Drosophila melanogaster: one gene and its partners. The protein of the gene in region 1 interacts with the protein of each later gene in a pairwise test. Each region holds a gene or a part of one and is shown in the gene's direction. Other genes may lie near its edges. The genes, in order: CG13407, Membrin, CG7309 and Nup50.

Region 1 (7,858 bases):
CATGCATGAGCGCCTGGGCCATTGTTGCGTGGCCTTTTTAATTGGCCAGCCGGATGGATGTCGGGTTAATGTTGCAGCAACTTCTTTCGCACATTTAATTATTCCCCGGCAACAAAACAAAGGCGAACGCATTACATTTTTAATTTGAGAGCGGAAACGGGCGGTCCGAAAAAAAAAACTGCTTAATTTTCAGGAGTGTTTGCTTAGATTATTTCATTAAATTGACCAGAGCAGGACAAAGCCTGGCTGGCCTTTGTCCAGGACAATGCCGAGAGCGCGGACAAACAAAAGTGTTGGCGGAAAAGCAAAAAGTTTGGCCAGACTCCCAGGACTCCTGCCATAAACGCCAAGGACTTTGCCCAGCCGAAGGGGGTGGAACGTGCACTTAATTAAAGATAAGAATTAACTGCTGATTAGTAGTTCTTCTTTACACTTGACACTGCGCTGGCGGTAGTCCTTCTGATACTGCCACTACTCCAGCTCCACTACCAGCAGCTCCTAGTCCAAGTCAAAGTCCAGGCACGTAGCATCCGCTCCTTCGTCTTGGCTTTAGCTGCCTAACGAGGTTTTATTTTTGTTTCCCATTTGCCCCATCGCCGAAAAAGTTTACTTAGGGTTTTCAAGGACCTAATGTAGCCAAATGATTTATGCACTTTGCCCCAGACACAAAGTGGGTGGGGTTGGCGCACATGCACTGGCCGCATTTGTGATAATTGATGTGGCCATGTCGAGGCCTCCTTTTGAGACCCTCGCTTCAAATACTTTGACTTTGCAGCCAAGAATGTCATGCAAATGCCTTACTTCTTCATCCTAATTGACTGGAATTAACCCAGCAAAATATACCTATATCCAACTAGCTCTATTTCCTTTGCCAACTGATGCAAAGATAGTTCTTTATAAGAGATCTCATCTGAAATCGAATATACGTAACACAACATTTTATTCATTACTCCATTTCCCGAAGTTCAATTATGTTTGGCTTAAAAGTGTATGAACAGTAGCGACTCTGATTCACCTGCAGCTCTTGTGTATAATTTAATGCTTCTACGTGTTAATCACGGCAATTAATGTATGCCTTCGCTGTTGTCCAACATCCCACAAACTCGGCCCGCCCTCTCAATTGTCCTTACGAGCACATCCTTCAGTGCGGAACAGATACAGATACAGAAACAGCCATCGCTGGCAGACACAGACACGAACCGAGCTGGAGATACAGATGCAGACCCATAAATATCTGGCACGTTCAACAACTCAAAGGGAAAAACTTTCGTTGGCACTTGGCTTAAATGCCTCATTTTCCAGTCATTAAATTTCGCTGGGCGCTCTTGCTGACCAATTTCGGTGGCCATAAAATCTTATAAAAATGTTGGTGGCAAATGTTCGGCTACTAGTTAACTACAATATGTCCGAGTCAACTTGTTATTGACTCTCTGTCTCGGTCCTGGGAGGGCTTTGAAATATGTTGACAATGGCGCCAGCAACAAAAGCTAAATATAAATACCCAATCCACAAAAAAAAAAAAAAAAAAAACAGCCCCCCATTTATGTTCTCAAATTTTCAACCCCGCAAGGCAATTGACTTTTCGATATGCTTCCCTTTTTTTTGGAAGAATCAGCAAAAGTCCTCTAGTTTCTTTTCCATAGTTTTTTGCCCAACATTTCCTGTGGGCCAAATTTTTGGGGGTTGGGGCAGCGCGACAAATCAAAGCGTTACAAAGCTGGAAAATGTGTGGAAAAGTTGCAGTGCAATTTATTATATGCTTTTGATTCTGCAAATCTAGCTGATGTTGTTCTTTCTTTTTTGTTTTGCTCCACGTTGTCGCTAGCACTGCGGAAATGTTAAATATTTGTTATTGCAGTCTAATGTTTCCGCTTTACGAAAGACAACAGACAGGGATTTTTCGAGACTGTGCTATGTTTGTGATCGAAGAGTTGTATACTTCTTGTTTAAAAGTAGTATATATATTACAATTAAATATAGTTAGAAAAAGTTAGTGGAAGATCAGAGCACTTGTAGTGTGTGATAACTGATATAAGCAGCACTAATATACCCCATAAAATTCAATTCAATATAAAAATCTTTTCTGGCAATGAAAACTATTAGCCCCAGTCATAAATCTTTAAGACCAAAGGCGTGGATGTGGAGAAGTGGAAGTGGACCCCAACCAAAAGCCGGGTTCGACTAACCGCACAAGGGACCACAAGAACCGAGCTCCATTTGGCTGCACAGACGACAGTGGCAAAGTCTGGGCCAGACATGGCACAATTATGACAATTTCTGATGCATAACGCTGCATCCATAGAGCTTTTAATGCAATAAACAAGCGACTGGAGCGTCATTAACACTGACAGGAATCGGTAAGGGTAGGGAGTAGGAGGAGTGTAGGGGGGGGGGGGTTGATGCCAAGGAGCATTCCCGGCCTTTTGTCGCTCACTAATTGTCTGGCCTGGCCGAAATGTGCAGCGCATGCATGCAACGCAACGCTCCAATTCAGGTGTGTGTCAGTTGGCCGTTGTCGCCACAAAACACTTTGCCGGCAATTGTCAGCTGGCTTTTGGGTACGTGTTACGAACAGTGATGGGAAATGGAAATACTTTCTCCACGGAGTACAAAATTAAATTAAGATACTAAAGATTACCTTTCCTGAAATTCAATAAAGAAGCAATATAGCAAAGTGGATAAAGTAAGGAGCTCTCGTTTAGAATCTATAACTTCTTCTTTTAATAAGTGAGTTACTATGTTTTTTGTAATTTTTGTACTTGTACCTAGTTTAAGTATTGGTACAAATGCTTTGCTCGAGCCGTACCTGCCAACACTGCCATTGAGTAGTTGTTTTAAGGCCGTTGCAGTTGCAAGTTGCTAGTTGTAGCCAAACTCACTTAGCAGCTGACAATGACAGTCGCCTGCCTCTCTTCTTTCCCGCATCACCAGCAACACCACTATCAGCACCACCACGATTACCACCCACTTCAAGTTCACCTGCGTTAATAGCCGCCTGCCAGGCAAGTGTCTGGGAAAGGCTTTGCCCAGTTGCCTAAACGACATTGTCACTTGCGGTTGGTTGGGCGCATCATCTCCTGCTGCTTCAGCCCCAAACTCCAGTTCGTCGTGCTCGTCCTGTTAGTCCTGATCGTCCTGTTTGCGGCTTCTGCAGTCGAGTTGCCATCGGTTTATGGCAGGTTGAGCACCAGCGACAATGAGCCACGCTGGTGCACCGTGTAGTGATAAACATGCGCGCTTTTCGGCACAAATCAATTAGCAATTGAATTTGGTGAACTCAAAGACGGTGAAAATGTCCGACGGCCAAATGACAAATCAACTCAACGTGCAACAGCAGGAACAACATCCGCTGCTTTCAGCCATCTCAGGAAATAATTATGCGTAAGCCATGGTCAAAGGCATTGGGATGTCGACTGTATTTGCCATACAGCCAAATCAAATTAAATTTGATATAATTAAGAAGTGGCACACTCACTCAGTTCCCTAGAATTATATTGTTAATCTGAACTCGCTTAAGTGCTTTTTATATATTTATCAAGAAGTCCTGCTAAACAACATCGTAAATAATGAATTAATTCTTTTTCAGTCATTGATATATGCAAAACTTAAACGCTTTAACAAACTTCTTTCTTCTATCCTACGTAATATTAATAATCGCTTAAAGGAGCCTTGAAAGAGTTTAGTCAGTTGCAACAGGATAAAGTGTGCTCTTTGGCTTAAAGATTAAGTGCTGGAGTGCCGGAGGCAACTGCAATCGCAAACGACCCCTGGCCCAAAAGACAGCCACTGCGGGCGCGGACTGATACCTCAGGCACTTAGCCGGGCTAATGTGGGACACAAACAGAAGCGGCGTCTCGGCCACACAACCACATGCCCAACCCCCCCCCCCCCCCACTCACTCATCCGCTTGCCCGCTTTCACCACTCACCTTCTAACCTTCTCTTGCAGTCAAACGCAGCGTGTGCATTACTATCCCAACCACTACTACCCGAGCCACTACTTGCCGGGCCATTACCACCAAGGACACCAAGGATACCAGGGGCAGCAGGGACGACCACCGCTCCTGGCGGCCGCCAGCAGCCACAACGGTGCTTATGCGGCCACGGCGGCTGGCAGCGGACACTCCGGCTACGGGTAAGCAAAGAACCACCGCTGCACTGAGAGAAAAGCAATGGGATGAACAAGAAAATTCATTCCAAATATACAAAGAAATTAAACTGTTATGAAAAAATATAAATAACTATTTGAAGATGAATATATACTTAATAATATTGATACTAATGAATACTAAAGTTTCGAACTTATCAACCTAAATTACCTATTTCTTCCTGTGCACTGGCCATCAAAGTCAAACCATAACCCCAATTCCAGTGCAAGTTCCGCATCTAATGCCAGTTTGAATTTTGCAGCGGCATAGAGCCATCCGTGGAGTACGAGCTGCAGCATGACCCACCCTCGGGTAGCTTCTCCTCCTTTCATCCCAGTAGTGCGGGCAGTGGGCCCGCATATCCATCTGCCCACCATCCGCCGGCTGGTCCACCACCGGCTCCTCCGCCCACCAAATCGTCAAAGAAATCGAAGAAGAGCAGCGGTTCGGTGATGAACGCACTAACGCTGCTCTCGTTCTTCTTCTTTGTTAACATGCTGCAGAACTGCCTGAAGGATCATATGGCTGACATGAATCCCACCGTGATGGTGCTCACAGCCAGCGGCACTCGCAATCGTTTCAACAAATTAGCCGAGATGAATTCACGCGAACAGACCTCGACAACGGCCACCGAATCGGTAACGGCATCGGCAGCGGCATCATCTTGGAATCATCAGGCTGCTTTAGTTCCGGCCGTCGAGCCAAGTGTGCCGCCCTCCATTGTTACGCCCACGGTGGTGCTGCAATCGCCCTACAGCCGTCACACGGAGATGGCCAATAAGCCGCCCCAACGCCAGCCAATGGAGTACCAGTCGAACCCTCAGCAAAATCATCACGATTATCGGCCCCACAACGCGAATGATGATGCTTATAATTACGGGCAGCGCCGACCTCCGCCTCAGACCTTCTCCACCTCCGATGGCGGCGATTTCTATCCTAATCGCACACACATCGACCACTCGTCCCGGCCCGACTTTGAATCGGAGTCGGGCTCCGATTACTATCAGCACCACTATAACCCGTATGCTGGCACAAACTCCCATCGGCATCCTTGGTCTTATGGCAGGCAGCGTTACTCATCCGCACCGTGGTCTTCAGCTTCGTTGGGCGCTCAGTCGGGCGTGAGCTCTTACTTGGATAATGCCCAGCGACGGCAAGGTGATGATGACGATGGTCATGGTTATGGCTATGGCTATGGCCACAGGGATAGGGATCGGGATAGGGATAGGGATACGGATGCAGATGGTTTCTGGGATGAGGACGAGAATGGTCAGCAGCGGCGACGCAGCGATGCTTTCTATACTCGCACACGCATTAATTGAATGCAAGAATTCCGCGCACATTTCTATGTTGCATGGCGGGGATTTGCTGCATTAACCCATTGCACAAAAATGGGGTGGCATAATGTGGATGGGCAAAAAAAGATGTGAATGGATTTTTTTTTAGAACAGCTAAAGCAGCGTTTATAGCTTATGGCATTTTACATTCTGTAAATATTATCCACGCTCTTTCGTTGTAGCTTAAAAATACCACATTTAACTTACTTGTATTATTGATTTTCATATAAAGTTATAATACGATATAAGAATTATTTTACATTACCTTTAAAAGTTGTATATCATAATGCACGACCGAGGGTTAAAAATGCTTAGCTTACATGTATTTATAATTAAAAGCAAACAACGTGCATAAGAGCTGACAAAAAATGAATGGAAAAAGGCGATGAGGCGGTGAGGCAGACAGACACACCCGGCAAGTTGGAATCGTAATGAAAATAAATGCTAATTTGTTGCACAACAAATTAAAAGTGCCCCCAGATTTTGCCTGGCGCTTGGCTAAGACTTTATTTTATTGCCTGCCACAGCAACTAAGTTGCAATTTTCCGGACTCACACACCCGTTTGTCTAATACAAATCTGTTGCATTGCTACCTAGCTAGCAGTTTACTTATTTAGTGGGATTTCGTTCTTGGCTCCACAATAATCACGGCCAATGAGCGGCAAAAGCAAACTCGTGTCTGTTGGATGGTGGCACTGGGGTAGCTTTAATTAACACATTTAGCGCAATTTAAAATGCATTTTGCCATTTGGCGCGCGTGCACTACAAACAATGCTATCAATTTCAACAACTTTGATTAAACGTCATTTGCAGTTTGCCATTGCATGTGGTGATGCCTCCGACGGATGCACTTTTTTCCCACCACCGTTGGCAATGGGAAAGGGTTGAAGTTGATTCTGGCAATTGGCATTGTCAGCGCTTTGGCTGCGTCGCTCCTCTTTTGCTTCATTTGCAATTAAATGCACGCAGTAGCAGATGCAGATGCAGTTGCAGTAGTAGCAGCAGTAGCAGTAGCAGCAGCAGCAGTTGCAGTTGCATTTCGGCCTCAGCTTCGGTCGGCACTCAAAAGCGTAATTTAAAATTCTCTTGGCTACCATTTTTCGAGGCCCTTTCTTCGCTTTGTGTCGGTGATATGGCTGGTTGGAGTGGAGGCTGCCAGTTTTGCACGCATCGCGACTGCCTGACTGACTGGCTCACGGCACGGTCCCCGGCACACGGTGCGTATGAGTTATGCAGCGACTGCATGGAGCAGCAGGAGCAGGAGCAGCAGCACCGCCACCACCCCACGGCCAAATGAAGTTAATATAAATTTTGCTTTACAACGGCGATGGGCGAACGTGTGCGACTCTGGCCGTTTATACGTATATATGTATATAGCGACTCTGGGCCTCCCATTTATTTAAATAAATTTATGACTTTAAGTGCAAAGTGGCAGCTAATGCGTGATTTTCGGAGCCAACACGAGCACGTAACTGGCGTAAGTGCTGCTCAATGGAACTCTAGTAGAGCCCAAAACTGGTTGCCAGCTAGTAGAATCGAAACAGTTCATGATCATCAAGGGTTTATGAATGTATCTATAGTGGGATACTGCTCAAGAGGCTAGGTAATACTTATATTATATATTCTAACTAAGCATTCGTTGGCATAATTACTTTAAGACCACCATTCCCAATGTTTTTCCCAAAGTAGTAAAGACAAGTTTGTGCTTAAATGGAATGAAATTAATAAGCTAGAACATTTCGTTACTTGGTGAAATCTCTAAGATCCCTGATAAGCAGTCAATCCACATTAATCCTACTGCTGTCAGAGCTTCATGATTTTATTACTGCCGCAACTACCCAGCTGAGATCATAAAAGTGAAAATTCTCATTACCCAGCAGAGGTCCAGAGGATGATGAAAGCGATTTCGGCTGGTTACTGGCTTTTGGACGCCTGCACATGACATATTATCCACAATTAAACATGCAATAAATTTACCTTAAACACGCATAAATTTATAATGTAAGGGACAGGGTTTTTTTTTTATGCCATCGTTCGTACTCTTTTTTGTCAATATTTTTTTGCCGTTTGTAGTTCATTAAAAAATAATTAAAAATTGTAATCGACGCAATTTTGTGCCTGCCTTTGCACAATTATTTATGCTCACAAAAAGCACACAATGAAAGGGCATTAATTTGCACTCGTGTCAACTATAAGTGTGCGGTAGATAAATTAAAAGTAAACAAGTGAATAAATTTTGTAAAAATTATTAAAGTTCCCACGAGCAGAAGATAGCCGTTCCCAGTGAGATATTTAAGATTTTCCTGCCTTACGCATGAGCCAAAGTTGCTGGAATCCTTTTGGCAGAGCTGTCTGGGCAGAAAAAAAATAAATA
Region 2 (6,544 bases), on another chromosome or scaffold:
GGGACGACGACGACCTCTTCATAGTGACGCTCCTATCGCATTTTTCGCTGCTGTTCCCTTTACTTATAGTATATAGCTTGCATTTGGTTGTTGTTCTTGCCACAATAACCGCACTCGATCTTTATTACGTTCATTAATAAGCATACGCTGCCACCGATGGCAACTCGGCGGAGCAGCCGCCACACAATCTCTTTTTAATTCCACGCACGTGTGGCCACCTTGGTCTTGGACTTTTGGACTGATGATGGTGGTTCGTTTTCCGGCTCTTACTGGGTGTGGATGCTGCTCCCGCTCGCGTTGCATTCGATGCTGTTGCAGCTGCTGCTGGTGTTGCTAACGGATGTTGTCGACTAAAAACAGCTACCTTCTGGCGGCTGTGCCAGCTTCAGGTTCTCTTTCATGGTCATAATCCTACGGATTTCCTGCAGCATCGTTTTTATATTGTACTCGCGACTCCATCTGGCCAACATCTGAACTGATCTATGATCAACCTGTTGCAAATTCAAATATATTAGCATTCGTCGTTGTTTATATGCCACATTCGATTGCTTGCACTTACCACGCCATTGTTCTGATTAATGCAGTTAATGTTTACTTTAGTTATAAACCGGAGCGTTGGTGGCTCATCCGGATAGCGTTCGCCGCACTCGATCTTTAGTGAATACATTCGATTCTCGAATGGTGTCTGTAATAAACACAAGAGTTTGCCATTAGCTTTAAATGATTCTTGAATGATTCAATACTCTGTGCACTTGCGGCCAGAGTGTCGATGAGTCAGGCGCTCCCATTCCCCTTAGTCCACCGCTTCTCCACTTTAGTTGCCAATGCAACTAAACCAAGTTGGGGCTCTGTTAGAAGACCCTGCCACCCAAACTCCTCAATGATTCATGCGGCGGCGCGCGCAACACTTCTAGACTATACAAAAATTAAATGCAAATTTAGTTTTCCGCCGCTTTCCTTGCTAGTAATTCAAGGCTAGAGCCTTGTTTTCCCCAATAAATGCATGTAAAGTGGAATATTTTCTTGTGAATAAAATAAGAATAAATTAGCACGAGCGTTTCTATACCTATATTTTCTAGCAATAATCCCAGATTGCAGCTTGTAGTTTTCATATAAGATTAAAATCTAGCAGAGGTACATTTTATATTCATATTTACCACATAAGAAGCTAATGAAGCCAATGACTTTTGAAACCCACACTCACAATGAGTTGCATCAGCGGTGCTAATGAAATGCAAATATTATCAAATTCCATCGCACTGAAGAGATAAACTGCCTTCAAAGATACAAGGTGCTATCCAAACTGAATGGTCTGCGCAATCTAAGCGATAAGATGTCAATAATCCTACAGAATTGCCTAATAAACCGGGCTTATCTGGTGACGTAGCGAGGAAAGTCCAATCGATATGGAAACTTACTCTAGGCGGACCGATGATCATGCCGATCCAGTAGGTGAGCGTCATGTCGTCGTCGTTCTCCAGGCCCCACGATATGGTGCCATCGCCCACGCCCTTCTGGCCCTGATCCAGCTCCTCCAGTAAGCGGAAATTCCGTGGCACCACTGCAATGTGAAACGGCAAAGAGGTGAGAACTCGATGACATAATGCATTTTCACTGAAAAACTTAAATCTTTAAATATAGTCATTAAGTTAAATGTCAGCTTGTTTTTAATTTTCTGGTTGGCGGGGCAAGAAAGTACTTAGCTTTCTAAATAATTATAATCACGGGCTCGTACAGATAAGATACATATATATAATTATAAACGACAGTTTTATCTATTTAGAAACAAACTAGTAAGGACTGTTCTACACATTTTCTATGGTATAAACCATTTTCGGTGATATTTCGGCGACTTTTCCTCTCAGTGTGGGGTCATATGGGTACGTGTTGTTGTTGTTTTGCGCTCTGCTTCTCGTGTTGTTTTTGTTTTCGGCCGTGTGACTTTGTACGCATTTTCGTGCAGAGAACACAAGTCAAAAAAAAAAAATGCGAAGCGCAGATATTAAGCACGATGGGCGCGGGGGGAGGGTGTGTCGGCGGGGGCGGGGCGAAAGCATAATTTCTGCATTTGCAAAAACAATCCAGGCAAATGTAAATGGCAGCTAATTTAATTAGAAAAGACAAGGCAGCTTGCAAAAACGCAAGTGTGCAAAAAATAAGGAAAATAAAGAAAAAACTTTAAGTATGAAGGCAAGAAGAAGAGCGTGCGCGAGCGAGCGAGCGAGAGCCACATAGTGAGGAAGGAGCGGGGATGATATTTCGGAAAATGTCAAGTCACGAAGCCCAATTGCAACGGAGTTTTTCCAACGCCAAACGCGGCCAAGGAAAATTGCAAGAGCAGCGTGGTCCGCTGGCGAAAATAAATTTCCATTCGCCCATTTCGCTTTTATCGGCTTTCGTCTTTCGCCCTTGCTTTCGTCTTCTTTTTGCCCGTTTTGCACCACACACACAATCACATTGCGGTCCGCTTGTCGGGTCCGTAGCGGCGGAAAAATCGCCGCCGGTCAGCGGGAAATGCAGAAAACGGATGGCCAACAACTCCGGGCGTGCGGGGATCGCATTTTTAAGCTGCCAAATTGCTAATTTATCAATTTTATTTCTTACCAACGCCGGTACTTGATGTATTCGCCATTGTGGTTAATGCTAAGTGCTAAAATACCGTAAAAGTGTGCTAACGCGTTTCCAGTGCGATGTGACCAGTGCGGTTTAGGTTTTGCTTGGCTTGCTTAACAACTCTGATTTTTACACCGTTAACAGTGGTAACACTTAACAGCGCCGTCAAGTGCAATATTTGGTCACTAATTAAAAATCATTATTTAACAATATATAGCATATTCTCTGAAAATAAAAAGGAAATTTAATAGTTGCATTAGCTGATAAGTTTGTCATAATATATGGTCATACCAAAAACGGCAGCCAGCTGCTCTGCTATCAGTGCTGTTAACTAACATGACACTCTGTCCAATGTTAACGCGTCAGCTTTTTTAAAAACAAACCAATTGCAACCGATTAAATATTAATTTGCGAATATTCTCGGGCCCATAAATTAATGCGGAATCAATAGGTGTAACGACATGGAGAGCTTGTACCACCAAACCAACAATGTGGTAAAGGACATCGAGCGCGATTTCCAGCGACTGAGTCAGCTCAGTGCCCAGGAATCGCTTGACGTGGAAAACGGCATTCAATTGAAGATTACCCAGGCGAACGCGTGAGTTCTACAATGATATATATTATCCCAAGAGGAGTTTGTATTATTAAATAAATCTTTTGTGTTTAGAAACTGCGATCGGTTGGATGTGCTGTTGTATAAGGTGCCACCTTCGCAGCGACAAAGCTCCAAACTTCGTGTGGATCAGCTGAAATATGACCTGAGACACCTGCAGACATCACTGCAGACGGCGCGGGAACGAAGACAGCGACGGATGCAGGAGATCTCCGAGAGGGAACAGCTGCTGAATCACAGATTCACGGCAAACAGCGCGCAGCCGGAGGAAACGCGCCTGCAATTGGACTACGAACTGCAGCATCATACGCAGCTGGGTAACGCCCATCGGGGTGTGGACGACATGATTGCCTCGGGCAGCGGCATTCTCGAGAGCCTGATCTCGCAGAGAATGACGCTGGGCGGAGCGCACAAGAGAATCCAGGCGATAGGCAGCACACTGGGTCTGTCCAATCACACGATGAAACTTATTGAACGCCGGCTGGTCGAGGATCGTCGGATATTCATCGGAGGAGTGGTGGTCACCTTGCTTATCATCGCCCTGATCATCTATTTCCTAGTGCTCTAATCTGAAGACATCGCGTTTAGTTGAGTTTAAATTAAATGTACTCTATTTTGTAAAATGTTAAATTAACAATTGATCAATTGTGGATTAATCCTCGGCCTCCAGTGAGATATTGCTGCCGAACCGCTGGTACAGATGAGCCTTCAGCTCGTCCATTTCCGCCTTGATAACCTTCGCCTTGGCCTCCACGCCGGCGATCTCCTTGAGCACCTGCTCCTTGGTCTCCTTCAGCATGTCCTGTGTTTTCTCCAGCTTGTGCGAGAGGAACACCTCGCCAACCAGGAACGGTATGTCCTCGTCCTCGTCGAACAGCTCAATCTCCTCCAGCGCCTCCTCCAAGCTCTTCAGCTCATTGCGCTTCGTTTCCAGCTCCGCTTTGAAGTCATCCATGCGGGCGTTGTGCTTCGCAAAGCGGTTGATCCGCTGCTGATCCTCGAAGGAGATGTGCACGTCATCGTGCTGAAAATGCGATTTAAAATATATATCATAAATTTCAATTGAGCAGATGCACAGAAAAAACCATGACAAAGTGAGGTTACTTTTCATCTTAGTCAGCTGTCCTTTGATGATTCACCCATACTCACGTTCTGGAACACTTTGTTCGTGCCGCTCGCTACTTTTGCTGCCATTTTCCCGTTGGTTTTAATTAATTTAATAAATAATTTATGATATTTTACAAACAGTTGCTGTTTTCGGTGCTTCGCAAAAAATTTTATTTGTTTAACATTTTAGTGTTGACAAACGGAGAGCAGTTAACAGAGAGAACGAGGCGTTAGGCTATTTTACAGAAGTGATTCCGCTTTAGCAATTTATTGTTATATCTTCAGCACTTATATTTATTTAAATAGTTATGTTTAATTTTTTATGACTATGTTGAATATAAAATATATAAAATATTTAATAAGTAGGGTTAATAATTTAGATATTTGCTACCTTTAATTTTGTCACTTAACAGTGTAAGTAACGTGTAAAAAAAATGATTTTGTGTAATCTTACAGTGGAGTACATTTAAAATGTACATATCCTGTGTAAAAACATTTTCAAGTGCAGTTACTTTTTAAAAACAAAAAAAATTTGCTAAAATTATATGTCCTATGCTTACATTTAAATCGAACTATTTTATAAATAGGTAAAATCTAACTTCCTTTAATTTTTTTTTAAATTAGTAAAGTATTAACAAATAATGCAAATTCAATGAGAGTAATTACTTATCAACGTTTTTTTTTCCTACTCTTTAGTATGTGGCACTACAAAACTTAACGAACGAATAAAAAAAGCGTATTAATTGTTTCTGTGATTCAGCCATATTATTTTCGCCACGAATTAAGCCTACCGCACACAGCTAATTAGTCAAAGTTATTATTGCTTCCTTTTTGGCCATGCGATTGAATCACTAATTGTTTGCACATGTCACAAATTAAGCAAAAACTAATAAATTATTACAGTTAATCGCCGTAATTAAACGGGATTTCTTCGCACGATGCAATTAAATTTCACTAACACCCGCCTCCACCCTTATTTTCCATTCCCTTTGAATCCGCATTAAACTGAGTATTTCGAATGGCGAATGCATTTGCCACTTTCATTTCCCCTTTTCGAATATTATCAAAATATGCAAATGCAATTAGACACAAACTCGAGATTAGCCATCGAGGTAGTGGGAAAGTGCAGGAAGTGATAGTGTTAATATCCTGACGATGACTCCGCTTATCCTTTCGCTTTTCCGCCGAAAGTCCGTATGGACATTGTCAGTTCACAAATTGAAATAATTTCGGTTTTAGGCAAATAATTGCAACAAAAGGGGGGGGGGAGATCTATAATAATATATATAATATGGACATTTTTGCTGCAAATTGATGTCTAATTTATTGCATTTGCATCGCATCAATTGCAATTGCGCCATGCAAAAACGATGTTTGCTGCAACAAGTTGTCCTTTGAGTTTTATCCTAGGTAACGAACTTGTGTATGGAAAACTTCATCAGCTTATTGCTTTAGCATCGCAATCAGATTATCCTTGAGATTTCCTTTAAGCAAACATTTCGAACGAAGTTGCTGCAATTTATTATACCCTTTTATCGCAAAGTAAAAGGGTATATTATATTCGTTGCAAAGTATGTAATGAATGATAAAAGGATTGAATACGAATTTGTTTGCATTATTTCAATGATTCTTGCTTGAAGCTTGTTTAGTTATATATTTATTCTACGTAAAGTTAATCGAATTCATTTTTAGATTTGCACCGAAAATGGTTACACCTTTGGTTTGCATTTCCATTGCTGCCTTCGATGGAATCCTTTCCCATTGACCCACATTCGGGTCATCAAGTGATGCCCACATATGGACAGGATTCTTGCAAAAAGGACTCGCTACGTCCCGCATCCTTCGGCCATTCTCCTCCAGTGCGTGAGTCCTGAAACACGAGGGAAATCAAAGGACATGGCGTCAATCAGTTTTCCACTAAACCAGGCACACATGTCGGTCACCTCCTGCGGGCTCCGCTGCCTCCCCTCCCTTTCTGCGACTCCTGTGGATTTTGCCTCTTTTCCCAATCTCCATCGAGTGGAAAACTTGGCAGCAATTGGCGACCGGCAGTTGAAGTATGACTACCTTCTTTCTCGCAAAAAAAAAAAATAGATAGTTAAACTTTGCTCTGCTGGGCTATTGATGTATTTCGACTGCTTGCAGTTGGTATTTACATTTGCCCAACTATTTCATTGTTTGTCCATTTTGCAGGATGAATGTGCTTTGATT
Region 3 (8,129 bases), on another chromosome or scaffold:
CGTGGCTTCTGCATGATGAAGCGAATGAATGAAGATTTATGGGGCATTAGACATACATACGTACATACGGTTGCATCACCATGTGTGTGCCGGCGGATAGTTGCTGCGATTACTACTGGGCTGAGCCGCCAGAAAGCTCATCTTCCATGGAAATAATAGCAGTAATTTGCAGGGCAGTAATTATGGCGCGTCATTAGTTTTCGAGCCATTGAGCCGGGGTGTCCGTGATTCGGAGTGCATTAAAAGTCTGATTGTTATGAGAAACATATGAAAAGTTAGTTTAAAGTTCAACCAAAGTCACTGTCTAAGTAACGAGTATCTAATAGTCGCGATGCTCAGCAAAAGCATTCTGTTCTTTAGGACAGAATTTTAGTTCGCACAGACAGTTAGTTAACTTGTATGGAACTGCAATGGACGTTGCATTTAATAAAAATAAATATTATTATTACTAACATTAATTATTTTATTTTAGATTTTAATTGAAACCAAGTACAACCATGCCTAAAAACGAATTTAACGCAGATTTTACAATGGCTTTTAATGAGGCGAACAATGGCCTCGGGCTACCTGACCTGAGTGACAGAAATGAAAGCCTTAATTGAATTTTTCTGTTGAGAATTTTTTAATTCCAGCCGCTACCCACATCAACAATAAACCGAAATATCAGCAGGTGGGCTCTTTGGCTTCAACACAGCCCTTTGTGCTTGTTTTGGGGCCCCTAATGGACTTGTTTTTGGGGCTAGAACCGATGTTTGCCACATGCTTGCCCCATTACCGACGAACATCGTTAGCAGGGGCAAAAAGGCGCCTTAAGGGTTAAGCTCGTTTGCCTGCCATTTGATTTAATAGTAGAACTAATTAATAAAAGTTACGAAAATCACTGCTTAAAACCTAGATGCGAGAGTTCCGAAGAGTATTGGTCTCCATCGCGGCCCTATCGCTTCATTATGGAGCTTAACAAGTTTTTAAATTTACTTAAATGCTTAAGTACGCTTTGGGCGCCCACTGCACTTACTTTGAATGGCTGCCAGACTCCACTTAAGCTGCAAACGGTGCGGAACAAGGACCTGCGAAGCCCATCATACTGGCCTTTGTAAAAAGTTGGCTTAATCCTCCTCGGTGCGTCCGAATGAATTTCACGCTGAGATTTGTCTATCACCAGTTTAATCCTTTCATTTTTAAGCCAATCAAAATGAACACTGAAACCTCTCAAGTTACTCAAAAATTTAAGAGTACCAAAAAGAAATATTGCCCATATTATACACATTTTATTTGTTTTTTTTGTGTGTGTGCTACCTGTGAAAGGCGGGTAGGTGTGTCATTTCAGTTGTCCAATTTGCACTTACATTCACGCAGACAATTCGTTTATATAGCCTGGCAGGGTATGGATAAAAAATGGGAAATGGGCGCGTAAATATGACAGTAACCATCATATAGATAGCAGAAAAGTTACTTCCTCAGCGACGTTATTAAATAATAAAACGGAGAAATTTACACTCGATTGCATGCATCATTCGAGGTCGATGCTGCACCGGGGCCAAAGTGGCCAAAAGGACGAGGACCGGGCATTCATTTCGCCAAATGCAATTTCAACCAGAAGAATGACGACGTTCGGAAAAAAAACAGAGGTGCCGATAATGAAAGGGCCGAACAAAGAAAAAACCGCTAACAAGCAATTGAAAGGTCTAAAAACAAACGAAAACTTTGGGCGAAAATAAAGCGTTAAAATGGGGAAATGGCGAATCGTATATTAAAGGCTATTTCACTTTGCAGTCCTGCGAAAAAATATTGATTAAAATTGAGCCTGCCTAAAAAAATGGTAATGAAAGAAATAATTTTTAAAAGCAGCTTTAACACTAAGCTACAAATTAAACGGACTGTAATAATCATAAAAAGAACATAAGAGCTAACTACAGAAAAGTGCTTCATTTTGAACATATATTTTGCAACTATTTTACATTATTGTATAAATACACATTCGATTTTTTATATTTGCTTAAATAAGTAGATAGATTGTTGGTAAGTAGTGTACGTAGCTTGGTGTTATATAAAAAATGAATTGTTAAAACTGTCGCTACACATAAATTACTTATTCAACAAATTAATGCATTATATTAAAAATCTGTCAAGATTCAAACGACCCAATAAAATAATTTTACATATTGAGGTGCAATTTTCAATTGCTCGATAAGAATGCAAATGGCAGGCAATGATTTCTATTGGTTATTTTTCAGCTGCTTTTAAAGTTTCAATGCAAATCAAGAACAGCTGTTGGAACTTAAATGAACAGCTAGTAGCTTAGATGGCGCTTATTAGCTCAGTTGCCTGCTATTTGTCGCCATGAACACAGCGACCACAATTGCCATCGGATTGTTAATGTTCATCCCACTGATCCTGATGCAGCTGGACCCTCAAATAGCCAACTGGTCGGCTCAAATAGCACTGGAGCTTCAGGAGCAGCCGGACAAGTTGGCCTATTGTCGTTCGCTTCAGCAACAGAAGCTGCGAATACCGCTCCAAAACACTGGATGTGCCACCATTCTGAGCAACCAGCTCGGCGTGACAGGTGAAATGCTACTCGAGATTCAAAAGCGTTGCTGGGCCGGATGGGGTCTCCTGGCAGGACGATGTCGCAAGTTGGCCTAGACTTTAAGGTGATTCGAAATATCCCAAAACCTTGTAGCTAACTGAAATAAAGAACACAATGGCAGGCAACATATGTATAGCCGTGATTTTTGAGTTGATCTCGAGTTCGCCGTGCCATAAAACCCAAGCATCCATCATAGATTCGTGTTAACCCTAATCAAGGATTGGTTCGTTATGTTATGTATACGTCATGTTGGCTCGCCCCAGCGCCTCAGGCAAATGACAACAATGGTAGCCGGATGAAGCTGAAGGAAAGTTGTCGGCCATTTTTGTTTATCAACCTTCCGTATGGAAAAAGTGTCCAAAGGAGTCAATCAACTTCCGCTTTGGCATTGCCCTTTTTTGTTGCCAGTTAGTTCATGGATTTCATCCTTTGCTTGTCCGCCTGGTTGCCATCGCCACTAAAACACCAAAATACCGAGTGTCAATCGGACAAAACCGGCAACGGCAACTTGGCGCCCCTTTAGACAGCAAATTATGAGTAGTTTCGTCGAACGATGAGTGAATTTAATACTTGCTGAAAGTTTTTAGAATCAAGTTAAATCCTGGTGCTGAGATGGGTAATGAAAAAGTCTGAAAAGTATGCCAGATAGTATAAATAGTTGAGCAGTTGGTAACTCATTTCATATTACAAAGATTTTCATAGTAAATATAGTTTTAAAATTCCAAACCAACTTATTTTTGATACAAACTTCCTAAAACGATAAGTAATTTGATACTTAGTATGTATAACTATCATTTTTTGGAACGCATCATGGCCAGTTTGCTGACACAGGTGAACAATTGTGCAACATTTAATTTAGCACTATCTGCAGTGACATGCTTGCTTGTTCTATTTTGGCAACTTTAAACAGTTTCCATTGCGAAAGGACTCATTCTTCTGCTCAGCCACTAACGAAGCAGAACGGCGAATAGTTACGCAAAATTGCCGACGACCGCGCGTTGTTACGCGCCACGTGTTCCCACAAAGTTGCCATCGCCATCGTCATCAGAATCGGAATCACCATCCGGATTCGGGATTCGACCCACAATGCAGTGCATCTCAGTCAGACTCGGCAGACTCAGTTTGGCCGACCAAAGTTTTTATTGGCCAAATTCCCCTGTCGCTGTTCGCGATGCAGTTTTTGGCCAGCGAAAAACCCTTGACCCACTACGTGAGTTAACTTGGCAGTTAGGAAAAAAAAACTTTTGCAATAAAAACTCCAACTATTAGGTTAAATATTTTCCGAAACTTAAAATAATTTAACGCTATGATAGGTAAATATATATATATATATTTACAAACCGGAAAACAAATTTGGTTCAGTAAACTTCAGTATTGAAACCATTGTGCATAGCAACCATTTCCATGTGAGTCATTAAGGCAACACGCTGTAACAAAATTGAACATCCGAGCAAACTATTTTAGTCGTACAAAATGGCAGCGTGAGTATAACAACAGAATCGAACTATTTATTAATATATTATATATTATGATCCTTAAACAAGTACTCAAGATTACAAGCCCGGGGATATTCCCCTGGAGGAGCAAGATGATCGCAGATTATTTTGCAAGTACCACTACAAAGGAGTTCTACTTTTGTTCATACCTATTTTGCTGGCACCCATTTTAATTGGAACTCCAGTACTGGTAAGAGATGGCAAGGCTTTTGAAAGGCATTTAATTAACTTATTTCCTGTAGATTTGCCGCTTCATCTATCTAACACTATGTCTTTACTTGATTTATATCCTAAATTTAATGGCCAGAGGAGCTGCCGCCTTCATCTATATGGTTTTCATACCCGTTGCAGGCATTGCGAGCTCTAAAGAGATCAGTGTGTCGTACTACACTGATCTCATATTTTTCGTTTATTCCGCTATATTCATGGGCATCATGATGGACAGTTCGAAATTGAGTGACCGCTTGGCTTTTATTGTCATCTCCTTGGTCGGTGGAAGTTTGAAATTGTATGTCCTTAAATGGCTGAGTTGTACATTACTTTAGAATATCGTTCTGTAGTCTTCAGATTTTCTTGACCATCGCCGCGGCCATTGTGTCCATTTTGGTGAATCCCACAATATCCGCTGCTTTTTGGATGAAGGTGTCCCAAGCCGTGATGGTGGAATACGATAATGTAAGAAATCACCAACATCTGAATCTTAACTTATTTTACATACTTTTTACAGGGTGGTTTGATAAAATTAAACTCTGAAGAGAAGCCCTATGAAATTGGATCGTGAGTCCTTGACAGTACAGTACCTTCCACAAATCCAATTAATTTTATAATCCGCCTCCTAGCAAACCATATCCCACGCGTCCTGTAATCGGAATATACCTAACCTGTTGCTACGCAGCCTCTTTGGCAGCAAGTCTTTCGCCCATCGTCAATCCCAATGGTGTGATAAGCGATGGTTTTGGGGGGTGATTATGGTTTTAATTGCTGTTCGAAAAGGTACGAAAGTTGAAGTTGCAAACTACTTTTCCAGGTCTCTTACAGTTCTGGAAATTGGCATGCTAATGGCGGGACCAGCTCTAATGGGTCTCGTTGTCATGATCTTCTGGTTGCAAGTCCTCTTCCTCGGTCTCCTTGGAGGCAGTGTGAAGCGCGATCTGGCGGAAATGGCTGGGGCTAAGGCGGGCTTTAAACAGACCGCGTCTGAAAGAAAACAGGCTCTTGGTCCCTGGGGAATATATCCCATCTTGGCCTTGAGCTTGATTCTATTGATGTTCCTGCTGGTGGCCACTCGCAAGCCGCGCATCTTTACGGGCTGGGATAGTATAAACTATAAGGCGGAATCTGGTCTCTCAGTGGCCGGCATTGGCATGTCCATTCTCTTCTTCGCAATTCCGGCCAACTATATATTCTGCAGATACTATGTTTGCCGCCAGCCGGAGAAGGAGGGTCCTGCCAATTCACTTCTGGGCTGGAAGGCGGTCAACAACAATACTCCCTGGGCGGAAATCTTTATGCTGGGCGCCGCCTTCAGCTTTAGCTATAGTTCCGCTGTTTGTGGATTGAACACCTACTTGGCGGATTCGATGAACTCCGATAACAAGGGATTCAATATGAAGAGCTTCATCTGCGGCGCCTTGCTTGGAACACTTTGGACCACGCTGTCGCCGGCCACCACCGTGGCCAAGTTGGCATTGCCCACCATGGTAACCGCGGTGAGTCAAAATTTGTATATTCATATTAATGAATATGAATGGATAGGATGGTCGGACTAAGCCATATCATATTAAGTCAATAAGATTCCTTTCACTAATATTTTTGTGTAATTTTAGGGTAATTCCTTTTCACTGCCATTTGCCACCGCGTTGCACAATCAGTTTTTGCTGCCCGTGAGCAGCCCGGCCAACACAATTGTCGCCGGCTGGGGCAATGTCAGACCTTTTCAATTTGTAAGTAATACGAATTGATATATATATATATATATGTATAGATATGTGTATCTTAACGGATTTTTCAGCTGCTGGGCGGAAGTATCCTGACGCTTTTCATGTTCTGCACAATCGCTGGATTCACCATCTTGTTCCGCACCATGGTGCTCTGAATTCAACTAATTTCAACTTCATTTCAGTTCAGCCATCCAAATTTCCGTTTCGATTTCTCTCAACCGCATTTGATAAAATTACCAAGTAAACACCACTGCAATGCGGTGTGTAGAGCAATCTTGTTGACACGTTTAGCATACAAAATCGGAGATGGAACTGGATTTGGACGAGATTGGGATGGCTCGGCAACAGCTGGTCCACGAAAATTCAGCTCCACGGACAGGTGATGGCAAAACAAAATGCTGCTGCTGTGGCAGTAACTTTTAGAAAAATATAAGGACGAAAGAAAGGATCAAACAGCAAACAAACCAACAAAAAAGAACTGGATAAAGTTTCTGAGCCAAAATTTTTTGAAATTCATTTCAAATTGTGATGTACATGTTTCAAAACGTAGCCATTGCCAATTAAAGCAACTTAAATTTGGATCAACTTTTTCCTATTTTTTTTCAGAAACTGCAGCATCACAGTGAAGAGTGGCCAGTACAAACATGGCATTAAAGTGTTGTCCGAGGACCAACGCTTTTAAGCAAATTACACAGTTTCGCATTTAGGGTAATCCCCGCCTGGTCATTCGCACCTAATTCACATCGCTGTAGTCCAAACATTGCCCACACAAGTGTTGGCACTGAATAATTTATTTGTTAATTTAGACGAGGACCAGGCGCATCTACATACGCATGTACATCTACATCCCTCTAGCAAACTCTTTCCGGCTGGATACTTGCCGGTTTGGTGTCGCGTGAATCCTCTCCAGCCAAAATACATTAGCGGCTGCAGGTTTCGGCGTCAGCAGCTTTGGGAGGCATTTATATTCAAACTATTTAAATATTAATACAGTGGCGCAGAGTTCGTGAATATTCATAACACTCACGACAATCCAAAATTGCGCATTTAATTGATTTTGTCAAGGTTAACGGCCGCAGATGTTGCAAGTACTTGTAAATTGTGGAAAAAGTATGTAAATAAAATATAAGCATTTATAAATTCAATTGCGTGTGTATATTTCGATAATATCCCATAAGCTGTAACTAATTTTTATTGAAAATTCAATGAAATCATAAAATGGGAGAGCCTTCTTCGGCCTGTGACACTTTTTCAGGTCTTATTGTCATGCCTTTCAATTTGTCTTGAAAATCCCATGGGCTTTTCTACTTCTTAGTCAGATGAGGAATTTCCATCTTAAAGTCATTGGAAGCCCCAAAAAGGGAGACGCACAAATTATGCATATATATTCAAATATCATGCACGCCTTAAGCTGATTTTCCACGCTGGCAAATTCCGAGCTCACTGGCATTTCCTTATTCCCAAATCTAGGCTCATTATCCTTCTTGACATCTGCCCAAGATTCGCGGTGAAATTGAAAAAACAAATATACAACAAAATACATGTATTTCCAAAAATACATGTTTAAATTTGAGATAATGCTCAATTTTGTAATTGAAATGTTTTCTACGAATAATATTCCTGCTGCGCTGTCAGTTGCAATCGCGTCTGTGACTGATTTTGCTGACAGCAATCGAGGAAAACAAAAACTAAAAGCCAGAGGACATTTTAACCATTGTCTTAAAACAAAAAGGTACAATGCAAATTCGGATATAAAACAGACAGATTGGAAAGGATGAAAAAAAATGTACATCCCAACATCCCAGCGCCCAAGAAACAAACATGGTGTCGGATTATTCACCTGCGGCGCCATTATTTCCATTCATTATAACTTTCAGAGTGTACTCCTTTTATATGCGCATGCACTCCCAAGTATAATAGATTTTCTTGCCGTCATTTGGGTCTTCTTGGGTTGCATTGTTTGCTTTATGGACAGACCCCGAAGGTTTCACGATAACTTCCAAACAGGAAGCTCAAGTCGGCCATTGTCCTTTCAGACGTTGAAAAAGTTGTCTGGAGCTGATATATACGGTTGTTAAGATAATAAAGACGCTAAAATTGGAG
Region 4 (7,833 bases), on another chromosome or scaffold:
TTCCTGAGTTGTGGATAGCCTTGACCGCTTTTTTCAGCTTAGTTAGACCCTCCCGGTCGAACTCCAATCTCTGAAAGAGATAGTTATTGCAGTGATCAATTGGGCATGGTGTCAAAGGGAATACATAAAAGTTGTTTAAGGGTTGTTTAAGGAAGTTCTATAAGACAAGAGATAGCGACAAGGTTTTGCATAATTGAGAGGCTTTGATAGAGGGAATTCTTCAAATTTCTAAGTCCGAACAATTGTATTTAGCGTTTCAATAAACGACCTGCACCTTCTGTGCTTTAGATGAGCAACCACAATGCATTCCCAAACTTAGCCAAAGATGGGAAGACACAATAGAGGAAACGCCGTGGACGGGCGCCGAATGAACAATATTTTCAGATTGAAATCGCGTCAACATTGGCATTAGGTATTCAGTTCGCCTGTCGGTCGGTTGACCAACCCCACCCCTTCGATACTCCCATCATATTTTATGGCACCAGCTAATTGAAAATGTACGACAAGGTCACTTCTATTATTAAACTTAATAACCGAACCAGCACCATTTTAAATGCAGTCGCATGCACCAATTAAGACAGCAAGTGAAAAAGATTCGAGGCAATTTCCCTACCGAAACACACCCCCCATTTTCCAGCATAAATGTTTTATGCGGCAAAGTTTTTTATAATCCGAAACCGGAACCGCATAAACAATGATTTCAGTACATTTCCGAAGTCGAGAAGGAAAGAGTTCGTTCCCCCATTGACCCGATGACTCTCCCCAATTGCCTCCAATTCAAAATGCTGTGTTCAGAATTGAATTAGCCGCCAAGGAGGGGCGCAGGGATCCTGACACAACTGCGAATCATATGGGAATCGGCAAAGATCGCTTACATTCCTGCTGAAACTGATATATGAGCTACCAGACAACAACTGCCCAATAAATACTGCAGATGGAAAAAAAAGTAACAAGCGAATCGGCCAAGACCGAACTCCGGGAAACCTGACTATTTGCGATTGCAATTCTATACTACGCGATAGTCGCTGAGTGGCAAACATCTGGGGACAAATGAACCCCTAGCAATCCGCCATCGGCTGTAGAAGATTAGTCATGTTGTTGAGCAAATTACTGGGAATGCAAACAACACGCCTAGACCGAAAACAAAAACCAGCTAACGATATTCGTCAACTTGTTTTGCTCTTTGGACGAGTTGCGCGGCCAGTTAGCTGTTTTGATAACAAAAGATGCTAATTTATAATAAGTCAAAGCCCCAGAAGATGGCTAAAACAGCAGCACTTTGTTGTGGAGCGGCCAAATGAATGGCACAGAGAGAAACTCTTGGACGCACAAAATTAAATTTCATTTTAGACAGTCAGTTTTACAGCTGCTCCAAATATAATAAACACGCAATGGGAGAGACTGGCTAAAAAAAAAAGAGAAATAAAATTCATTTAACTGGCGGGGAATGGAGGTCACTGGGCTGCTTGGGCTACACCAAAAATCCATCAGCAAAATTAAATATTAAATGTTTGACGTGGCGTCCAAGAAGGCGGCCCAGAGTTCCGGGAAAAACTGGGCATGACGTGACCGACCAATAAATCGTCTAATTTTGTTTCGCCGGGCGGGCGCTGCATTAGCCTGGGGAATTGGAGCAATATGTGTATATTGCACAACCGGCCCACTCAAGGGTCTTTTGGATGACAACATGGATGACTTTTCCACTTAGGCGTTCTGTGTTTTCTGTGGACGATATCCCCAGCTGACTGAGTGTTCCCGTACGGGAATAGCCGCGGTTCTCGGATTCGCTGCTCTTATCACACGCCTTTTTCCGGCCGTAAAATACTCTTTGTGTGCTTAGCTTTATCAGCGGGCGATTTATATCCGTGCACTTACATACATATGAAAGTGGAGGCGACATCACAGCTGCCTTGAGTAAATATAGAAATTACAGCATGCTTATGTGGCAGCCACTCCCACTTCGGTGCCCAGCCCCCAGTTCCCTGCGCCCCTAGCTCCATCTGCTCTTGCACGTTCCGGAATGCACTTTGTATTTCCATTGTACTATTTTTGTGGAATCGTGGAATCGAGGAAAAACCACCTTGCGGGCAGACAGAGAGAGAGCGCGAGCCGGGAGAGAGAGACCGCACTAAAATAACAGGCGGTGGCTCATTTTGGCGCCGCGCCAATTTACAAATCTGTCCGCTGCAGCCCCCCGGAAAATAGTAATCATCACCGTTTGGCAGGGGGCGTCGCCTGCCATGTTAGCTGCAGTATCGCGTGGTCACATAGCCGTGCTCCTGTTTTCACTTTCACCGACATCGATCAGATTCCATTAAATTAGGAACTTTGTTTTGCAAAACCGATTATTATTACAGATTATCCGCAGATGGATCGGAATTTTAATCATTGAAATAAACAAGTAATGACGATAACACATTCCTCACTCTCCGTAGCCTACGAAGATATTAGTTTTTGAACAGTAAACCCAATTTTTCAGCGGTTCAAATGCCTTTAAATTCAGTGACCCCTAGACTGTTTATATGTTTAGCTCAAATATAAAACTATATAGACTGGGATTCCCAGAACACACCTGTAAACCCACCAGGATAGCCCACCTTAAACTAGGGATTGCTTGGGCTGTAGGTACACAGATTGTTGGCTTTTTGGACTACCTGCCTCTACATAAGGAACATGGCTTAGGAATTGCCTGGTCAACACACTTACCTCTTCCAAGACGCCAATCGTGTGGCGGCAGTCGGGCATCCTCGAGGCGAAGGTGGAGGTGGTGGGCGAGCTGTAATCGGAGCGCGTCTCCTCCACAAACTCGGACACGGCAATCAGGGATGGCGGCATTTTGCTGCTCAGGATATCCCGATGTCCTGGTATATACAGCGTATCTTTTACTCACACGCACACTCACTCACACACACACACACGCGAGTCGCACGCACACCAGCTCACGCCCAAGGCCGTGGAACGGGAGCAAAATGGGAGTGGGAGCGGGACGGCAAATAGCTGAGAAACTACCAGGATAACGCCTTTAAGCACTGTACGTGTCTCTGCGTCTTTGTTCACTCCCGATTTGTGTTGTTGCTCGTCGCACTTTCCCTGGCACTATATCCATATATCCACACACTGGCGTTCTCATCATCCTCATGCAATTTGGCTTTTTGCTTTTCGCTTTTCGGTTTTCTGCGTTTTTGGTACTGCTCGTACTACTCGAGATGCACAATTAACTTTGTCTCTGGGCGAGGGAAGTGCGCAGTACCCGGAATCGCGGCAATCATGGTAGGATCAGAAACACACTCGGACTGGTACTGCTACTGTGACTGGGACTCGCGGCACTGGACATGGTCGTCCTAACTTTAGGCGTGATTTAATACTTTTGTTTTATTGCGATTTTGTGCTGCTGGCGTCTCGCTGTTGTTACCCTATCGATATGCTATCGAAAGCAGCAGGCCTGTTTCGCTGACTCACAGTTACGTCGCCCAACTGAGGTAGCGATAACATTTATCGACCGCCAGCAACGCGGTGTGGATTTTATTCGGTTTTTTTTTTCTTTTTCACTGGCATTTGCTTTGAGTTTTAATACAGAGTAGAACAAGATGGCTGGCAAGCGACAAGCCACTTCGAACCTGAACCACGAAAACTGGGACCTGGAGGAGGAACCCGAGGAGCGCGGCACATTCCGCACGGCCACCGAAGAGGAGCTAAAGACACGCGTTATCAAGAAGGCGCGCCGCAAGATTGCCGGTGGATCGTCCGCCGCTGAAGAGGATGGCGCCGAAGAAAAGACTGCAGAGCCCAAAAGTGTGTTCAGTGGCTTTTCCGGTAAGCTATCAAATCCATGCAGACCTGAGGGACTTGCTCACTCCGATTGCTTTTAGGTTTCGGCAAGCCGGCTGCGAGCCCAGCCGCGGGTTCGCCTTTCTCCTTCCTGGCCAATGTGACGGCACCAGCCACGACCTCTAGCAGCGAGCCAAAAAAGTCTGCATTCTCGTTCGGGTTCAGCTCCAGTTCCAGTTCGGCCGATCGGCCTGTCAGCACTAGCATTTGCGGCACCGCCAGCACCAGCAGCACGGCCCCCTCTCCTTTGCCGGCCAAGGAATCAACAAGTACCGTCGATGGCGCCAAGCCGACCACCTCGATATTTGGCAACATATCAGCTGCCAAGAAGGAGAGTAGCGAGGCCAAAACCAGCAGCAGCAGCACTAGCCTCACATCCACCATGGAGACCTCCGAGTACCGTGAAAGCGTTGCTGACCTAAATCGGTCCGTCATAAAATTCCTGCAGGACCAAATGGGCAAAAGTCCCTACTGCATACTGACTCCAGTGTTTAAGAACTATGATGAGCATCTAAAGGATCTGCAAGACGAGGAGAGCGCCAGAACGAACTCCACGAAATCCAAAACGGCACAAGCTCGTTCTCAAGAACCAGTTGCAAAGGTGTCCCGTGCATCGTCGCCACCAAAAGCGGCTACTACGTTTACGTTTGGCAAGCCCAGCGCGCCAATAGGCGCCAGCGTATCGCCCTTAGCCAAGAAACCCAACTGCACCATAACCAGTGGTGGAACAACCACCACGACCGCAACACCACTGGTCTCCTTCGGCAGTACGGCATCGTTCACTGCGCCAGTGCCGTCCTCCTCCAGTATCTTCAGTTTGACAGCAAAACCCACTGGAGAAGCCAAATCCGATGATACCCCTAAGTCCAGCATTTTTAGCTTTGGAGCAAAGGATACGACCACTAAAAAGGATGAGCCTAACTTCTCGGCACCGAAGACCAATGGCTTTTCCTTCGGACTGAAAAGTAACAACGACGACAAGCCAAGCACCTCGTTGTTTGCGGGTTTCGGAAAAGCGCCTGGAGGAGCAGGAGACGGCGCAAAGGGCTTTTCCTTCACCAACAGTGCCACGCCCTTCTCTCTCGGAAACATTCATCCGCCAGCTGCAGCGGCAGCGCCTGCGGAGGAGGAAAAAGAAGAGGATACGCCCCCAAAAGTCGAGTTTAAACAGGTGATGATAAAAGAATTTTCTTTTCGAAGGGAAAGATAATATAACTTCTACTCCAAACAGGTTGTGGAGGATGACGCTATATACTCCAAGCGGTGTAAGGTGTTCATTAAGAAAGACAAGGACTTTGGCGATCGTGGCGTGGGCACGTTGTACTTGAAACCTGTCAAGGACTCCGAAAAGATCCAACTGTTAGTCCGCGCCGACACCAATCTGGGCAACATCTTGGTCAACCTTATTCTTAGCAAGGGTATACCTTGCCAGCGCATGGGCAAGAACAATGTGCTGATGGTCTGCGTGCCCACGCCAGAGGACTCCAAGGCCACATCGCTGTTGCTACGCGTAAAGACCGGTGACGAAGCCGACGACTTGCTGGAGAAGATCAAGGAGCACATCAAGTAGAGGATAGACAACTAACATGAATTCGTACATATAGATGTTGTTTAATCGTTTGTATTTTAAAAGCTATAAATGTACGAAACCCTGGAAATAGAACTCAAGAATGTACACACAAAAATGATAATCAGTCAATTGTGGCTACAATGATTTTGGCTTCAAGCATATCTTTGAGATGAATACTTAAAGTTCGCACATCCTCAGAAGACTCGTCCAACCCACTCATATAATATTGACGCAACATGCGACCGATTTCGGGGGGATAAGCTAAAAATTTTAACGAGATCAGTTTCGGGTATACAATTTAAATTGATAGTCGCTTACTTATTGTTTCCACTGTGACAATTTTGGTGCGCCGGTTAACGTAAGTGCACCTCCCGGCGACAAATTCGGTTGTGCCAGAATTGGCGTTTCCCTTAATCTTCAGCAGTTTAAATATAACCGTATCGCCCCTGGACGGCAGGCTATTGAGTGGAGTTGCAGTCCGCAGTAGGTCCCTTATAATATCCAAAGATTGCCTATTTTCTACTACTAAGATGTCAAGGGCACTCATAAGCATACATCTACCATTTAAATGCCTCGTATCTCACCTGGAATCGGTTCAATATCAGAGTCGCCGTATGAAACGTCGATATTGGAGTCGTCTACCAACATCACATCGTCGTCGGAATCGGATACTAGTTGTTCCTCAAAAATGGGCACTGTTACCGTTTTAACATCCTTCGAATCAACGTTATTTTTAATCGGAGATGCACTTCCGTCATCTGGCAAAATTTTTTCGACTTTGGGTGTTTTTTCCATAGATGTGTTGTTCTGTAGAAATGACTCAGTAAGTTCAAGTGGATTAGTTGCTTCAGCTTCGGACGGAAGAGTGGTCTCAGCTTCAGTCGAATTGTCCAGATAAGCGGATTCAACTGCTCCTATGGCCCCCGGAAGAGTGGTTGATGTTTCAATGATGTCTTCGCAAAGAGGTGCAACTGCTCTCTTTATACCTTCTGAAACATTTTTTTTATCCTTTACATCTGGTAATTCTTCGTCGTGCAAAATTTCGTAGGATTTAGGCTTTAAGGTTGAATCCTTCCCATTGCTTGGGAATTGTTTAGCCGTATCATCACTCTTAGCTCCTTTCTGCAGCAAAAAACGAGGACTGATGGGCTTAAGTTTTTTATATTCCAGAATTTCAATTTGTTGTTTTTTAGTGGGAAATTGAAATATGCGCGGAACATTAAAGGGCATCTCCAAGAGAGGGGAGCGGAACGAAATCGATAGGAGGCTAGCAGCAATGCCAGGACTCTTCTCAATTTGGTCCCCTGCTTTCAGTTGAGATAGTTTATCCGGAATTTTGTTGGACTCCAAGTGTGTTTTGTCCTGTTGCTCCTCTCGAGTTTCGTTTTCCTTCGTTACCACACCAGATTTTTCTGATAGAATGTCAGGCGATGTCTCTTGATTCTTGCTTTCTGACATTTTACCCTCCTTGAGCGTGCATCGAGAAATACTCTTAGGAGCAGGTTCATTCTCTACCTGGTCAGATGCCTCGGGCGATTTGGTCGGTTTCTTGTTTTTGGATTTATTTTTAATCTGAGGAGCAGATTCCTTGTTCTCTGTCTCGATGTTCGCTGACATGTTAGAAACTTCTGTCTGAGTTTCAGGGGCCTTTGGAGTGCCTTTGTTTGTCAAGAGCTTTGATTGTACAGAAGGTCCAGGAGCCATATCTAGCAACTCCTTCTTTCTCACACGAGATGGGTTTTCTGCAATATTTATCCATTCTGAGTTGTTCTGGTTCTTGGAGCGCTTTGAAGGTCGGAGGGGAGTGGAGGCGGTTAGGTGAACCTGTTCCTCGACGGATCGATTCTTGCGCTTTTTACTGGATTTTACAGGAGCAGGGCTCACAAAGGTATCACTATCGTGGCTGGCAAACCGAAAGGCTCTGCAAGGGATGAATATGCTCAAGTAGATCGTAAAAAGAAATAAGCTCACCTACTTGAGTCCTTCGGCAGAGTTCAACACTTTGATAGACTCCCTCGGGGGCAGATAGCATCCATCTGAGGTGAGCAGACTAATGTCCTTCTGTTTGAATGCAATTTATTTAGAATTAGCAGTTAGAGATTCTTAAAAATCTTGCCAAGCTGAAGAGGTTTTGTATGTGGTCCTGGAGGTCCTTGATGTTGTTCCATGCTGCATCGATGAAAACCAACGAATTTCGTCGTTCGTCCTTGAAAAAGTTTGATAGATCCACCTTCATGCTGGAGTGTTGCATTTTTGACTTAGTTTTCTTATGATTAAAATGATTTTAAATGTGCTAGAGATGGAAGTATGTTCGATTTCGTTATCGTTAAATCGATGTGTTTAAATTTCTGTCAAATTAATGTCATATTTTTTGTAGCGATTTATAAAAATAAAGCTTATTTGAATGACAAACTACATTAATATTAAAAAATTGC

What was found.
Region 2: the proteins of CG13407 (region 1) and Membrin interact in a two-hybrid assay, tested with the Drosophila melanogaster proteins (one large-scale study listed by BioGRID).
Region 3: the proteins of CG13407 (region 1) and CG7309 interact in a two-hybrid assay, tested with the Drosophila melanogaster proteins (one large-scale study listed by BioGRID).
Region 4: the proteins of CG13407 (region 1) and Nup50 interact in a two-hybrid assay, tested with the Drosophila melanogaster proteins (one large-scale study listed by BioGRID).

The regions. Positions count from the first base shown.
Region 1 is NT_033777.3:22,100,122-22,107,979, forward strand, and holds CG13407 (uncharacterized protein), read left to right. Parts: upstream 1-3,292; coding exon 3,293-3,381; intron 3,382-3,948; coding exon 3,949-4,134; intron 4,135-4,409; coding exon 4,410-5,469; downstream 5,470-7,858.
Region 2 is NT_037436.4:5,363,525-5,370,068, forward strand, and holds Membrin (membrin), read left to right. Parts: upstream 1-2,930; 5' UTR 2,931-3,074; coding exon 3,075-3,211; intron 3,212-3,280; coding exon 3,281-3,794; 3' UTR 3,795-3,857; downstream 3,858-6,544. Other genes in the region: Uev1A (Ubiquitin-conjugating enzyme variant 1A), read right to left, coding at 351-491, 560-685, 1,419-1,561, 2,605-2,632; Pfdn4 (prefoldin 4), read right to left, coding at 3,879-4,250, 4,376-4,420. UniProt on the Drosophila melanogaster protein: Involved in transport of proteins from the cis/medial-Golgi to the trans-Golgi network.
Region 3 is NT_033779.5:10,904,747-10,912,875, reverse strand, and holds CG7309 (uncharacterized protein), read left to right. Parts: upstream 1-3,982; 5' UTR 3,983-4,063; coding exon 4,064-4,071; intron 4,072-4,134; coding exon 4,135-4,276; intron 4,277-4,328; coding exon 4,329-4,594; intron 4,595-4,646; coding exon 4,647-4,761; intron 4,762-4,813; coding exon 4,814-4,863; intron 4,864-4,925; coding exon 4,926-5,048; intron 5,049-5,113; coding exon 5,114-5,795; intron 5,796-5,912; coding exon 5,913-6,029; intron 6,030-6,097; coding exon 6,098-6,181; 3' UTR 6,182-6,606; downstream 6,607-8,129. Other genes in the region: CG14069 (uncharacterized protein), read left to right, coding at 2,341-2,646.
Region 4 is NT_033778.4:8,119,551-8,127,383, forward strand, and holds Nup50 (nucleoporin 50kD), read left to right. Parts: upstream 1-3,485; 5' UTR 3,486-3,587; coding exon 3,588-3,813; intron 3,814-3,869; coding exon 3,870-4,999; intron 5,000-5,059; coding exon 5,060-5,398; 3' UTR 5,399-5,508; downstream 5,509-7,833. Other genes in the region: Asap (ArfGAP with SH3 domain, ankyrin repeat and PH domain), read right to left, coding at 1-70, 2,707-2,835; coil (coilin), read right to left, coding at 5,520-5,659, 5,717-5,923, 5,983-7,319, 7,374-7,459, 7,515-7,649.